3 linked regions of the Drosophila melanogaster genome follow. The protein of the gene in region 3 interacts with the protein of the main gene of each other region in a pairwise test. Each region holds a gene or a part of one and is shown on either strand. Other genes may lie near its edges.

Region 1 (4,538 bases), on a different chromosome or scaffold from region 3:
GCGATAAAGGGGGTTTGGGTGGGGGCTGAAAGGCAAGGCTAGCATAATAATAATAAGAAACAGAACCAACAACAGCAATTAAAATGGCGGCAACAACAAATAGGAATGCGATGAAAATAAAAACAGAAGTGAAAAGCCGTCATCCATTCTCTAAACTTACCTCTCTTGGGCCTTACACTGCACGAAATCGCAGGGCGGTATAATTTGTAGTCGTCAGTATTTTCAATTGAAAATAAATGTTTGAAAAGAGATTTGTTCCCTATTAATGCGGTAACTTTGAACTAATTTGTAATTTCATTGGATTCAAATACCAATTGGTAATGAAAACTGAGGCTTTTCCCAGTGATCCTGCCACCATTTCCCGCTTTTAATGACGCAGTGGCAAACACTCGGAAGGCGTCGACCCACTTGGCACAAAGGGGGCGTGGTGAGTGGTGATATGTATGGCTGCACACATGGGCATGTGTGTGTGTGTGTGTGTGTGTGTGTGTGTGTGTGTGGGTGCGTGAGTGTGAGCGCTGAGCAGCTGTTAAATATTTGCTCAGTTCTTTTTTCGTTCTCGCTGCAAGCATTTGAAATGTATTAATAATTGTCAAATGTTTAATTAGCCAAGCGAACACAAGCTCAACTCGTTCGTTCGTTCGTTCGCCAAGGAAGCCATTCCAGAGCCCCAAATGGAGACAGTTTTGTCACGACGAAATACACAGCAAGAAAAACGTAGGAACTTGGAACTTCCTAATTCATATGTGTTACATATTAAACGATTTTAAAATGCGGCATATTGAAGCTATGCACAAAAGAAATCTTTGTTTCAAACGTTTGAAAAGGTCTTAAATTATGGAAATTAATATTTCTCTCCGTTCGCTTCAAAATGTGGTAGGAATTTTAATTGGAGAATTGAAAAAAAAAGTAACTGGCGAGATATTTAATATTTTTCTGGGTGCACAAGGAGACAGCGGAACAGTTTACCGGCGCCAAAAATATGCGTAAAATGCTGGAAGAGCTTCAACGCAGCAGCAGTAGTATCAGCATTTGCCCCCCGTTTGCCACCCACTTAAGCCACCCGCTGCCACCGCACCATCCCCCTTACCCAGCCACTATTCTAGGCACCGCATTAGGAAAGCCAAAAGGAAATATCCTGCGCCTGGGACTTTTCCTCGTCGTCAGCGAAAATATTCGGTAGAGAAAATTTCCCAGAGTGCGATAAAGTCTGAACTTCTCGCATGCTAGAAATTTTGTCAACAATTTGGCTGGAGAAGTATTTAAATGGTATTCAGTGAAAATTTCCGACTATATTTCCAAATATATATTTAAATGACTTAGATAAATATGAACTAATTTTTGATCAAGGATCTATTTGGTTTAAGAACCCAAAATTTTCATTAAAAATGTAATTTATTCATTCATTTTATTCAAATAAATTCACTTAAGATTTTATCACCATACGAGTATAACCTTCTATCTGTCAGCCTTTATTAAAGTCAAATGAAGATATTTTCTATGAACGTGTTTTGGTTTGTGTCCATATTTATTTGCGGAGCTAATTAAATAGGATTAGTTGGGGCAAAGTAGATTAAATGGAAGAAAGTGTGCATGTTCATTAAATGGATTAAAGGTGTGCTTTCTGCTTTTATGAAGAATTTAATTTAGCTTTAAAAGTGTATTTCTTGTGTGTATATATACTTAGCAATAAGCATAAAGTTTCCAATTGTTGTTTAACTTTAAAATTATGGTTTCGCAGATATAATACAAATATCTATGTGTGTGTTTAAGTTTTATGGCATTTAAAGCGCATTAAAATGAAATTAAATATTCATTCGGAAATTTAACTGGCAAACACGAAAACGGAAGAGAGAAGCGATGATGATGATGATGATGATGATAAAAATAATAATTATAATAATATTGACAACAATGACAGCGCAACTGACACGATTTCACTTAAATGACAGATGCAAAAAGAACGAGAGAAAATTATGGCCGCGAAATAAGAGAAAAGGCAAATGTCCTTTTCGTGGAACTTTTTATGTCTACTAATTATTCATTAAAGAACAGATTTCGCAGCATTACGAAGACGCTGCCGAATAAAAGAGACAATCAGAAAATAGGATTAAAACTATCAGTATGCCATTATTTCTGCCACTTTAATCTGGTTTTAATGTTGAGCATTTGCCATGTAAAGTGCATAATAAAATTGTAGAAAATTTAATTATGCGCAATTAATGCGCATTAAATGCACGCAACAGCGGGCGGCGAATGATCCTGGGCGTCAAGTGGGCGGTCTCCTGTCCAGAAGGGGGCGTGTCCATTGATGTCGGCTAATTGACTGCCATCGAAGTGGGTGGCGTGGGGGCCTTTGGGGTGGCATAACCAAATGCTCGGTCAGCTGCTAATTAACATTCTCAGTGGGCGCCAGCGATTGATGGAGGCGGAAAAAAGGTCGTGGATTCCATGCCATCTAATCCGAAGTGCGAAGGCGGCCATGTCCTGTCCAAGGAGCGGCAGCCAAATGCTAGGAATCAACAGAAAGCGCGACCTTAACTGTCAATTAAAATCGCCCCCAAAAGTGGGCAATTCATTTTTCACAGCAAAAGAAGCGAAAAGAAAAGAAGAAAAACTCAATTCGAAAAAACTAATGTTGCTTAGTAGGCGTATTTGAAATTTACAACAATTTTTAGACATCAAGCTATCCATGAGAATCTTTTTTAGATCCTTCAAAGTCAATGCTGAGAAATTTTCAGTAACGTACAAGTCACCAAACCGAGCACATCAAAAATAAATTTTCGGCAGCATTTTTTAAAAGTTTACAAATTTCGAATTACCAAATTTCGAGATAAAATTCATCCACGATTTTTTTCGAAATAAAACATCCAGCCATGTCGAACGGTTTTTCCTTCTGGAACGGACAGCCAGTGAATGCGCCTATCTTTCCCCAAATGGGTGATGCCATAAACGTTGGTAGCCAGTGGTCGTCCAGCGTGGCACCAGGATCCTGTGGACCAAGAACTCGACCGATGCTGCAGAGCATGGGCGATTTCCAGCCGATGAGATGTCCTCCAGTGCCACCCAACTTCTTTGGCCAGCCGCACGCCATGGGAACTGGATTTGGAGATGATCAGGGACCCTGCGAACCCTGCATCGATAATGGAGAAGCCTTCTGCGCCTACAACGGCTTGGATATGAGCTGTGCCGGGAGAATTAAGGGCGATTTCTGGTAGTAAATCAGTTGTCCCATCCAAGACCTTCTTGTTCACAAAGTCGTTGGAATAAATTTTGCATTGTGGTCTCTGCTAGCTCAAACATACATACTTTTTTTATTTTTAAAAAGGGTTTGCGAAATATTGTCTTGTTTAAAATCGGGTTTTATACGAAACATTGCAAACAGAACATCTCGCAGGATATTAATGATAGAATAAATATCCAGGAATGGCCTTTCTGAATTTAGCTATGGCATACAAATCATTAAAAGATTTTATGTTTTGTGCTTCACTGCAATTTCGCACAGATGTCGTTTGACAAACGACTGCAGGCAAAATAATAGCGAACATAAATCTAAAAAAAAAAATAAGTAAATGGCTTACAAAAGTATCAATTCTGCGGAAGAGCCTTTGAACTCATCGCCTTTCTCACAATGCTTAAAGTAATCAAATTGGAGGAGAAAATATGTGTAAAAAGATTGTAAAGCTTCTTTTTTAACAATATCCAATCAATTTCGAATTCTATAATAAAACGAAGAAAGTCCTCAATTTGGCGTTCCAGAATTTCGCATAGTGAAATGCATTTAAGTGGAGGTCCTGCGATGTCCTCTAGCGGATGCATTATCCTTGCTCTGCTCGCCTCCATCCGTGGCTACAAATTTATGGCGAGCCCTCGGCTCCGTTTGATTGCGAATATTATCTTATTTTATGTCAACTCCTTGCCACTTCCCGCTCCTTTTGAAGGCCATCAAATGCAAATGTTTATGGCGGAACACGCCCCCTTTGCGAACCCACAGTGCCATGCATTTTGCATGCCGATGGCGTTGGCTTTTTATGGGTGTGTGCAGTATTTATGGCCCAACTATGGCACCTGCCCCACGCCTCCAAGTGCCACCATTCCACCATTCTTATTTTTAAAAAAATATATATGTAAGATTGTTTATTATTATTGTTTATTATTAATTTAATTATTAGTTTAATTCTAAATGCGGTAATTATATAAAGTATTCTTAGTTTGTGACCGAACGACTGCTGCTGAGAACTCGACTGACTGCAACGCTGACTTCCACTCCACTGCTGCCTTGCGATCGTTCCTTCGATGACTGATTGTCGATAACTTCGATTTCCGACAATCATGTTGCTGCTCAACAGCGCTGCCAACCGGGTTGTTGCCAGCCTTCAGCCTTACTCCATGTTACATTCGGCCCTCCTGATCATCATCATCCGACCCGGATGACAATAGGTCTGCATTTTCGGCTATGTGCTTCCACAACTTCATGTTGTCACAGCTGGTGGATGTGACATTGGGTCCTTCGACGTTTGCTGCTTTTTTAACGTCAT
Region 2 (4,703 bases), on a different chromosome or scaffold from region 3:
TTGTCAGCCACAGTCTGACCCAGTTTTCGTGTTTTTCCGTTTGTATTTGCTCAAAAACCCCATTGTTCGGTCGGAATAATTTGAATTTTAGAATAATGAAGTCACAAAATGTCAGTGCGCGTTATCAAAATCATTTATATGCGAGAGCACTTTTTGGCCATGGAGGTCGCTTTTTGGCCCAACAGCGCTCCCATGTGCCAGCTGCCAGTTGGCATATTTTGTGCTACTGGATTTTAAATCGCTTACAATGCCTCAAAAACTGAATGCAAAGAACGAGAGAGATAGTTGGCCAGCACAACTGGGAATGCCAGAATATTCATGTACGTATATTTGGTGTGGCTGAAATAAATGAATTATTGTTACTGGCGTTGGATAACTTTCTGTTCGTCGTGTGTGTGTGTGGAGCTGCTGTGTTAATGGGTCTCAGTAGGGAAAAGACCTTAAAAACTTAACACTTTAAGTGAGATAATCTGATAGTTCCTTTCTATGGGTTTTAATTAAAGAAGTGTTGATTGCTTGACATGAATTCATTTAAGGGGGAATATATAGACAACAGTATTGTTTTCATGAAAAACTTGTCAATTGGTGAATTTATTTGCATAAGTCATTTAAACGGTAAAACGATAATAAGTAAGAATATATGAACATATTCAGCACGAGATAAAAGTTACAATCAAAATTCATTGCCTACTTATGAGCGCACGAACGAATCTGGCTTTCCATTATGACCGTGTACACCCCAACAGCCTAGCAAGGAAGCTAGGAACTGCAGCTGTGGTCAATGCTGACCCTCGGACTAGAGTCAAAAGAAGACTCAAGCGACACCACCCTCATGACCTCCCTAACCTGGTTTTGACCTAGAAAGTCTTAGTTTTAAAATTCATTAGAATAATCAAATAAATAATAATTACTATGTTATATCAACTATTATAATTCTCCCTAACATTTTTAGGATTAAAAATCTGTTAGTCTTAAGTAACCAAGACACATTGTAAAATAAAATAATTTAAGCAGATCAAATTAAGTTGCCGCATGGGTAACAGTGCGTTGATCAAATAATAAAAACATCAAATATTGGTCTCAAAAAAAAAAAAAAAAAAAAAATTATGACCGTAATACTGTCAAAAACAAGCACACAATAATTATAATGATGATCAAATAAAACTGGAAATTAGCCCAAAGTGTGTTAAGTCAAGCGAGGAATCCGAACAAAGGAACTACAGCCAGCACTGGAGGCAAAAAGTGACAGTAAAATTGGCTCGAAGACAGCGGCTAATGAGCGTGCGATAGGAATAAAGGAGTAGAATGGGGCCAAAAACCCAAGAAACTCAAGTTGGCTAAAAGGCAAAGATATCGCAGTACTAGTCAAATACGAGAATACTGAGAGAGCATTTTGCGATGGGCTTGTGGCAAGACTAAGCGTCTTACTGGCAAATTGGGAACGGGGTAAGAGGAAAAGCCGAAAGCTAAACAAAGACGGCCAACGCAGATGGCAAAAAGGAAAAACTCAATTGCCGCACAAACCGAGCCGCCATTGTTTTCTTAATTGAGTGTCTTTTGCTAGTGTGTCTGTGTGCCAGTATGTTTGCTCATACATATATGGGGTATCTGTGTGCCAGGACACTATGCTCATTGCCGCCTATCTGCCGGCAGAGTTCGCTTATCAATTACATTGAATTTACCCAGGCAGAAATGGCTTTTAGCCATTCTAGGCACCACCCCCTGCAATCAATATTTGCCGGAAGTGATGGCATAGGCAGTCACATTGACTTTTGCGCCGACTGCTCACCTCTCCACTTCCTGTGCTTCCGATTTGACGCTGATTTCACAACTCGCCGCACGGAAATTGCCCGGCCCCCCATTTACGGCTTCAGTAAACAACCGCACCTCACGTTTCTTGACCACCCCTCCACTCCATTTCGATTTTCGAATCTTCACTGTACTGCAGTTGACGAAGGCGCACATTTTATGTATGTATTTGCCGTGAATCTCCAACTCCATCCTACTTCATAAGTCGCCTGATTTATTCCGGCCACGTAGCACTCACTGCACAGTTTGATTGCCACATTCGCATGTAAATGCTGGCCTCTAAAAAGTATTCAAACCAAGCGACCCAATCCCACAAATCTGTCCCACGTCATCGCGCATAATCGAGCTTTTAATTTCGGGTAATAAAACTTTGCCGATTTAATATCAGGTACGTGGCGCCTTCATTCTACAAAAGAAAGCCATAAAATGTGGAACTGACTTCGAGGGAAGCCATAAACTTATGTTTTTCAATGAAGGATAAATAAGAAAAATAACTAGTTGTTACACCTTTCAAATTTTTAAAGCATATTCCCCAATTTATTGTCAAGTGATTCATCAACGATTTCTGTGGCCTGCAAAGTTTGCCTTGAAAGGCAAAAGATTTTGTTCATTAAACAACGTGATACACGAAACCAAACTGAAAAAAACTTTGTTCTACGAGTATTTCAAACTTTTCGCCAAGTTTACGCATAATTTTTTACGATATTTTCCGCAGTTTTTCCTTTTGACGGCTCATCTTATTCTTATTGTTGTTCGAAAGGACTTACCCAGCATCCAGGGATCTCTAATAGATTTCCGGCAAACAATTTTATTCACTTTCTGCTATTGAATTTGGTATTATTAATGCCGCATTTCCTAAGCTGTGGGCATTAAGTATATGGCTAACTTTTCTACTTCAGGATATTAAACGAATTCATTACAATATTTTTCATAATTTTATTTCTTTTGGCAAGAAGATATTAAAGTAGACCAGCATTTAAAAGAAAACTTGTCTGCACAGAAAACTACGTTTTGTTGAGTAGCAACTGTAGATAAAAAGTTACGAAAATGTTTTTCGCTCTGACATTGCTGTCAAAACTCATCAAAAAAATACTATTTGAACATTTAAAAATATAAAATGGATTCAGATGCCGATGGTGGCGAGACCGTTTCGAATTTCTCTGAAAATTCGACGGATTTTGAAGAAACTGAGGAGTATATTGTAGAGAGGATTTTGGATCGAAGGCATTATATGGGCCAATTACAATACTTGGTCAAATGGCTGGATTATAGCGATGAAGATAATACCTGGGAATCGGCAGCAGATCTCGATTGCCATTCACTTATTGATTCGATTGAATCACAAAAAAGTCTGAAGAGGGGTCAAGAGCTGAATAATCAATATGAAACTAAAGCTAAACGACTGAAAATCGATCCATGTCTAGTAGTAGATAGTCCTTTTAATCATGGTTTCACTGCACAAGAGATTCTAAAAGGCGCTAAAAACAATGGTGAAATATCGTTTTTAATTAGGTTTTGGCATCTCGATCAACCACAAGTGGTGCCAAGTGGAATTGCATATGTGGAAATACCGCAGATGGTTCTGAAATTCTATGAAAATCATTGCAATTTTCACGATTATTTAAATAATTATATATCATGACTTGCAATTCTGGATCTTCAAAAAAAAAAAACTTATGAATATGTGTGTGAGCTTCTTATATTTTATATGTTAGGTTAAATTGCTTTACTTTTTATAATAAAAGGTGTCCCTTTGCACAGCATTACAAACAATAATGAAGGCAAAATGCCAAGTTTTAAGTGATTTTTGGGGCGTGTTTGCCCGACAGGCAGCGTAAACACTCTTAATTGCAACAACAGTGCCGGCAAACAAGGGCCAGGAATGTACGACGGCCAAAATGAAGCGAAAATATTTGCATTCCGTTTTTGTGGCCATTCCCTTGTCTCATCGCAAGTACCAAAAGTCGTAAGACCTATTCTCTGTTTTTGGCTGATGGGGCGTGGTGGCCGGACGTACTTTTGCCCTATATATTCGTGTTTGTTTTTCGTCACTTGGGTCCTTTTTTTTGGAGGGGGGGGGGGGGGGCTCTGGTGCTACCCAGTTGCGTCCAGTGGGCACGTAGCCACAATAGCAGCAAAAAGGTTTCGTTTAAGCCTTCTGCACTTTTGCCGAGAATTGATACTGCAATATCCGGTCGAGCAAGTTCAACTCCAATCAATTGCTCTTCGATATTGGTAAGTTTTTGTCGGCGGTAAAAGAAACTAAGACCTATTTGAATTTATAGGCACACGCTTGATTCAACTTTTGTTTTGACGTTATGCTTGCACTGGTGTTCAATACTATTTCTATTCAAAATATTCTTAGATTAAGCTAGATAACTGATCCATGAAACTAGTGAAGCATTTATTCACGCTGTGCTTTTTTAGATTTTGTGAGTTAAAAAAGAATAATGTTTTTTTTCGATTTTCACAGAAATAATTGAAAAAAAGGAGGGGGGAAACAAAAAATTAATTTGGCGCCTACATTCTATTGCCCACATTCCAACCTATCCACTTTCTTTTGTTTCGCATGAGGTCAAGGGTTAAATGTACACACGCATACATACATACATGCATGATGACCGTATTTGTTTACGTGCCTCGGTCGACCCTCAAAACAATGGACTGCCATTGTTTTTAGTTTTCCCACCCCGCTTCACCCCTCGCGGGCATGGCACAAGATGTAGATTAGGTGTGCGAAATGAGGGTAGATTTATGCTACCCTGGAACTCATTATCGAAATTATGAATAATGCAGTCGACTTTGCCCTTTTCGGGCCTCGGCTAATTTGAATATAAATTTAACTCATAAATATATACAAGACGATTTCCGGCAGACGGCGCCAAGGGAATAAC
Region 3 (4,691 bases):
ATTATCGCTGGTCGAGAATCCTTGGAACTGCACATGCGATCTTCAGATGTTTCGTGACTTCGTTATAGGCATGAACCTGTATACACCGCCCACATCCTGCCATTATCCTTTGCAGTTACGTGGTCGTCTGTGGATCGAGGATCAGCCGGAGGCGTTTGCCTGCAAGCCGAAGATTGTGTATCCAACACTCAGTACTTCCATCAACACTTCCAAGGAGAACGTAACGCTTATATGTCGCGTCCACGGATCTCCCAATACGGTTATTGCCTGGGATTACACCAATCAAGTATACGAATCCCGCTCCAAGCCGGTGAAAAGTCTGCAAAAGCAGCGCATCTACATAGAACTGTTGCGTGAGGATGAATCAAAGATTCGAAAATTCGGACATGATGTTTTTGTGTCACGTCTAACGATAGTTAATGCCCGTAAGAGCGATGAGGGCGTCTATACCTGTCTGGCGGAAAATCCCGGTGGCAAGGATTCGGTTCACATAAGTGTGGTGGTGCAAAAGGATATGGAAAGGATTTCCCTCATCGACAGCAACTTCTTTGCAATAGTCTGCCTTATAGCCATGGGTTTTCTCAGCATGTCGATTCTATTTTCGTTGGTAACATGCCTAATATTTAAGAGATTCAAGCAGTTCCATCCCGGCCAGCACACTTATTTGCAACCCACTAGTTTGCCCGTTCAGTCACCTGGCAGTGAAGAAGCCACCGCCATCAGCGCCCTAAGTTCTGGAGTTATAAGGGAAAGTAAAATAGTGCTGGATCCATTAAGTGCTATCAATGAACCATCAAATAAAAATTACACTTTATTTAAAACATCCAATTCGAATGGCAGCGAGTATATGCACACGAGAAATTATAAAGACGTGAGATTAAACAGCAACACATATACTGAAAATCTAGACAATCAGGCGGAATCCATTTCATCGCGGAATCGGGAGCTCTATTCAAATATAGCTGGTGACCGGGAAAAGGAAGAGCTCAAACAGAAAGGCAATAAAATGCCAAATAAAATTAGTGCTCAAATTTTAACTTATTCTTGTTTTTCTCCTACTTAGATGAGCTCGATAAGGATTCCCGGCAGAGTTCCTTGCAATCAACAGGCTGCTCAAGAAAGAAGGGACAAATCGATGAACTCCAACCGGACCTTTTGCCTTCCACTCAACCTACTGCCTTAAAAAATATTAATGAAACTTTCGGTCCATCAGCGAAAAAAGCAGAAGTTAATCCCCGAAGCAAGTACAATACCAATGTGCAAAAGTACCTAAAGGAGAAGTACGGCAGTGTTAGAATAAAGAATATCAGTACTAAAGAACCCATTACTGGTGTTGATATCTCAATATAATATATTAATGTTTTATAATATGGCATTTCCCACCATACACAGCTGCGAATCCACCGTAAACCCCATGCCATTGAAATTTTAGTCTTTGCCAGGATTTCAATTCATATCCAGCCCTACCTCTCTAAGACCTCCAGGAGATAGATGGACAAAGGAGATCCAGTCAAGAAGAAATATACCTCGCCTTATTTCTGGTAGTAAATTATGTATTTTAAAACGTTACTAATATATAAAAATATTTATTTACACAGTTCTAAGTGTTTTAACCCACGCACTTTAAGTGAAAGGAATGTAATAATAAAGTTTTAAGTGATGCCTTTAAATGAAAAATGTGTAGCTTACTTGAATTAATCTTATATTATCATCGAATTCTAAAAAGCATTTTTAGTAAATCGTTTGATTTTATTTACCTGACCCACTTTTACCGTACTCTACGTTCTATCATCCCTGACCTACCCCGAATTCATTCTTGTGTGTGCTACAATTCCCAACTGCTTCTGGCCGTTTGCTCATGGAGACCCTTTTCGTTTTCCGTTTCAAGTTATCGCTTCTCGGCCTTATGGCTAAGATCAAAGTGTAGTATCTGTTCTTATCAGCTTAACATCTGATAGTTCCTCCATTGGAGGACAACAAATGTTAAACTGATTTTTGGAATCAGACGGAGTGCTAGGGGCTTGCTCCACCTCTGTCGCGGGTTGGCCCGGTATTGCAGTACCGCCGGGATTTCGGCCCAACTGAATAATAAATATTTAACTATTATAAAATCAAAAGGATCTACTTGTCAACACAGTAGACTTTCAAAAGTTGCTAGTATCTGTCTATCTGTCTAGTTTCTTATCAAAATTATGTCGTTTTGGCAAGCCTGATTACCTACCACAATGACTGCGCCATTTACCTCGCGTACCAACCAGGCCGCCGATTCCGGCAAAGATCAATCTCCCATCCATGGATTGAGCCGGAATCGAAAGCGTCAGGAGAGGCGAAAGCAGCGCCTGCAGGAAATGCAAGATTTGCTGTACACGAAACACTTTTCCAACTACAGACTGCCGGCATCGGTGGCCGCGCCAGCTCCCGAGGATCAGCTGCTCCTCAAACTGCAGAACTTCGAATCGCTGACCGAGCAGCCGTCCAGCAGCAGGAAGAGCACTGCGACCACATCTAGCGATTCGCCGTGGAGCCGACTGCGCCTGGTGGCATGCCCATGTCACGGATGCCTATGCTCGGTTGACCCCAGCGCTCTGTTGGGTCACTATTTGAGTGACCATCTGCCGGGAATGGGAGTTCCGTTTTATGAACTGGAAATGGGCAAGCGAGTGTCACTAACATGTCATATTAGTAGCCTGGAAAGAGATGTCAACACCCTGCTGGGGGTCTATGGCTATCGGCGCACTGGCCTTAATCCTCTGAAATGTCACCGAAACACCCATCTGCCAGTGGAGTACCGCCGCTTCTCGCAGCATAGCGCCCTTATGATCTTCGCCTGCCGCACCATGCACTCGGTGCTGTGGGAAAGGAAGCGTGTCAAACACGAAGTCCTGGCCATCTGGGTGGCTACTCCTTTGCACGGCGTGGCCATCACTCTGCGCCTGCTGGTCCAACCTGCCAACCTGCCACGTTACTACACCAGACAGATAAAAGCTCGTCCAATGCTGCCACTGTCGTCGAACCAATCCTGCAGTGAGTTCATCAAGACCGACAGCAACGTGATCCTCATCAGCTTGAATGACCTCCGGCCACTAATGGATTTAGATGTTTGGCAGCAATCGCTAACCGTCGAACTGAAAGTGATTAGCGAGGCAAGTATATAAAACTTCCGGTTTTTTTTTTTTTTGGAATTCGCAATATTTTTGGCCATGTATTTAAGTCTAAGATTAAACAAGGAAACATAAAACTTGAACTCGCACTTACTATATGCATTAATAAATTAGGACAAAGTATCAGAGATTACATTTGATAAAAGCAGCTACTTCCTGATCCAGGCATCCTACTTCCGTTGCTGAATATATATACATACAAGTCGTACAAGGCTTTTCAATTCGGCAACAGTTTGGATAACATGCTATTCGTACAATTTTGTTGTTCCTCACACTTACATCGTACTTTAAAGGGAATTTACAAATTTTGAGCTTACATACATAAAATTTAGATTTTAAATATTCTACGTTAATGTGTTAGAAATATATAATTATGTGTATAACCTTATATCATTAAGGCGCATGTGCAGATATTCTAAAATTGTACTAGAAATCGAGAGAGCGGTGCGCTGAATCCTCAGGCAGCGTCGCTTCGCTTTTTACGCAACAAAAAATTAAAGCGCCATCATCAGGGGACGACATACTAAACAAGACAAACTAAATAAAACAAACTAAAAGAACGCAACTAGAAAATAAAAAACATCCGTCTAGTGTGAGAGGTCGGAATCTGGTTCCGGCTAGCCGGCCTTTTGGGTCTGTTTTTGGCGTTGAAGTGCCTCAAAGGCTTCGATTTCCTTCTTTTCTTTGGCCTGATTGCGACGCTCATATTCCAGTCGGTGCGAGATGATGCGCTCCACGATGCGCTCCGTGGTCATCTCGTTGCCGGAATCGATCAGCTCAAAGATGGCTCGCGTCTTGGGAACGGCATATGGATCGATCTTGCCATTCTCAAGCGCAATGGGTGTGCGTCCATGACAGACAACATCGATTTTGAAGTGCTCAAGCAGCTCTTCAGTGACACAGTAGGGAGCTCCGATTACTACCTCATTGACAAACTGGGGGAAAAAAGAAGTTTTAAAATGAGATAATATTTAAAAAAAAGAATCTATTGCAATCCTACCTTGCAGGCCAAAACACTGAGCACGCGCTCGTGCAGATTCATAATGGGATAGTTGCTGCCCTTGTAGGAGTTCACCACGGGATCTGTGTGCAGGCCAACAATCAGATAGTCACCCAGTTTCTTAGCCTTTTCCAGAAAGTCCAGGTGACCCACATGGAAGAGATCGAAGGCGCCAGCCACATAAACCTGCAAATACCGACAATTATGAATTATACATTATATACATATAATGAGGGCTAAACTTACAATCTTATCGCCGGGATTCGGTGACTTTCCATCACTGAACTGTATGATCTTTTGGGTAGTCGGCAAGAACTGACTACAACCGGTCCACGGACTTTTGGCTGCCGAATCTTGACCCATGTTCGAAGAACCTGGATGGGATTTTATTTGTCGTTTTAAAATTGACACTTTTTTTGTTTGTTTTGTATTGTAAAGCAACGCAGACAAATGAGCAAAAGTGTGTATTTAAGAGCAAAAATTTACGTTTAGGATTTGATTTCGATTTGGATTCGGATTTGGATATTTTG

What was found. Proteins that work in one complex are often made in the same cells at the same time.
Region 1: the proteins of CG15482 (region 3) and CG15200 interact in a two-hybrid assay, tested with the Drosophila melanogaster proteins (one large-scale study listed by BioGRID).
Region 2: the proteins of CG15482 (region 3) and HP1e interact in a two-hybrid assay, tested with the Drosophila melanogaster proteins (one large-scale study listed by BioGRID).

Annotation. Positions count from the first base shown.
Region 1 is NC_004354.4:11,180,180-11,184,717, forward strand, and holds CG15200 (uncharacterized protein), read left to right. Parts: upstream 1-2,751; 5' UTR 2,752-2,876; coding exon 2,877-3,218; 3' UTR 3,219-3,297; downstream 3,298-4,538.
Region 2 is NT_033777.3:9,318,900-9,323,602, forward strand, and holds HP1e (heterochromatin protein 1e), read left to right. Parts: upstream 1-2,870; 5' UTR 2,871-2,926; coding exon 2,927-3,451; 3' UTR 3,452-3,462; downstream 3,463-4,703.
Region 3 is NT_033779.5:13,209,316-13,214,006, reverse strand, and holds CG15482 (uncharacterized protein), read left to right. Parts: upstream 1-2,192; 5' UTR 2,193-2,225; coding exon 2,226-3,155; 3' UTR 3,156-3,234; downstream 3,235-4,691. Other genes in the region: kek4 (kekkon 4), read left to right, coding at 1-998, 1,064-1,350; Pect (phosphoethanolamine cytidylyltransferase), read right to left, coding at 3,779-4,096, 4,162-4,347, 4,408-4,571.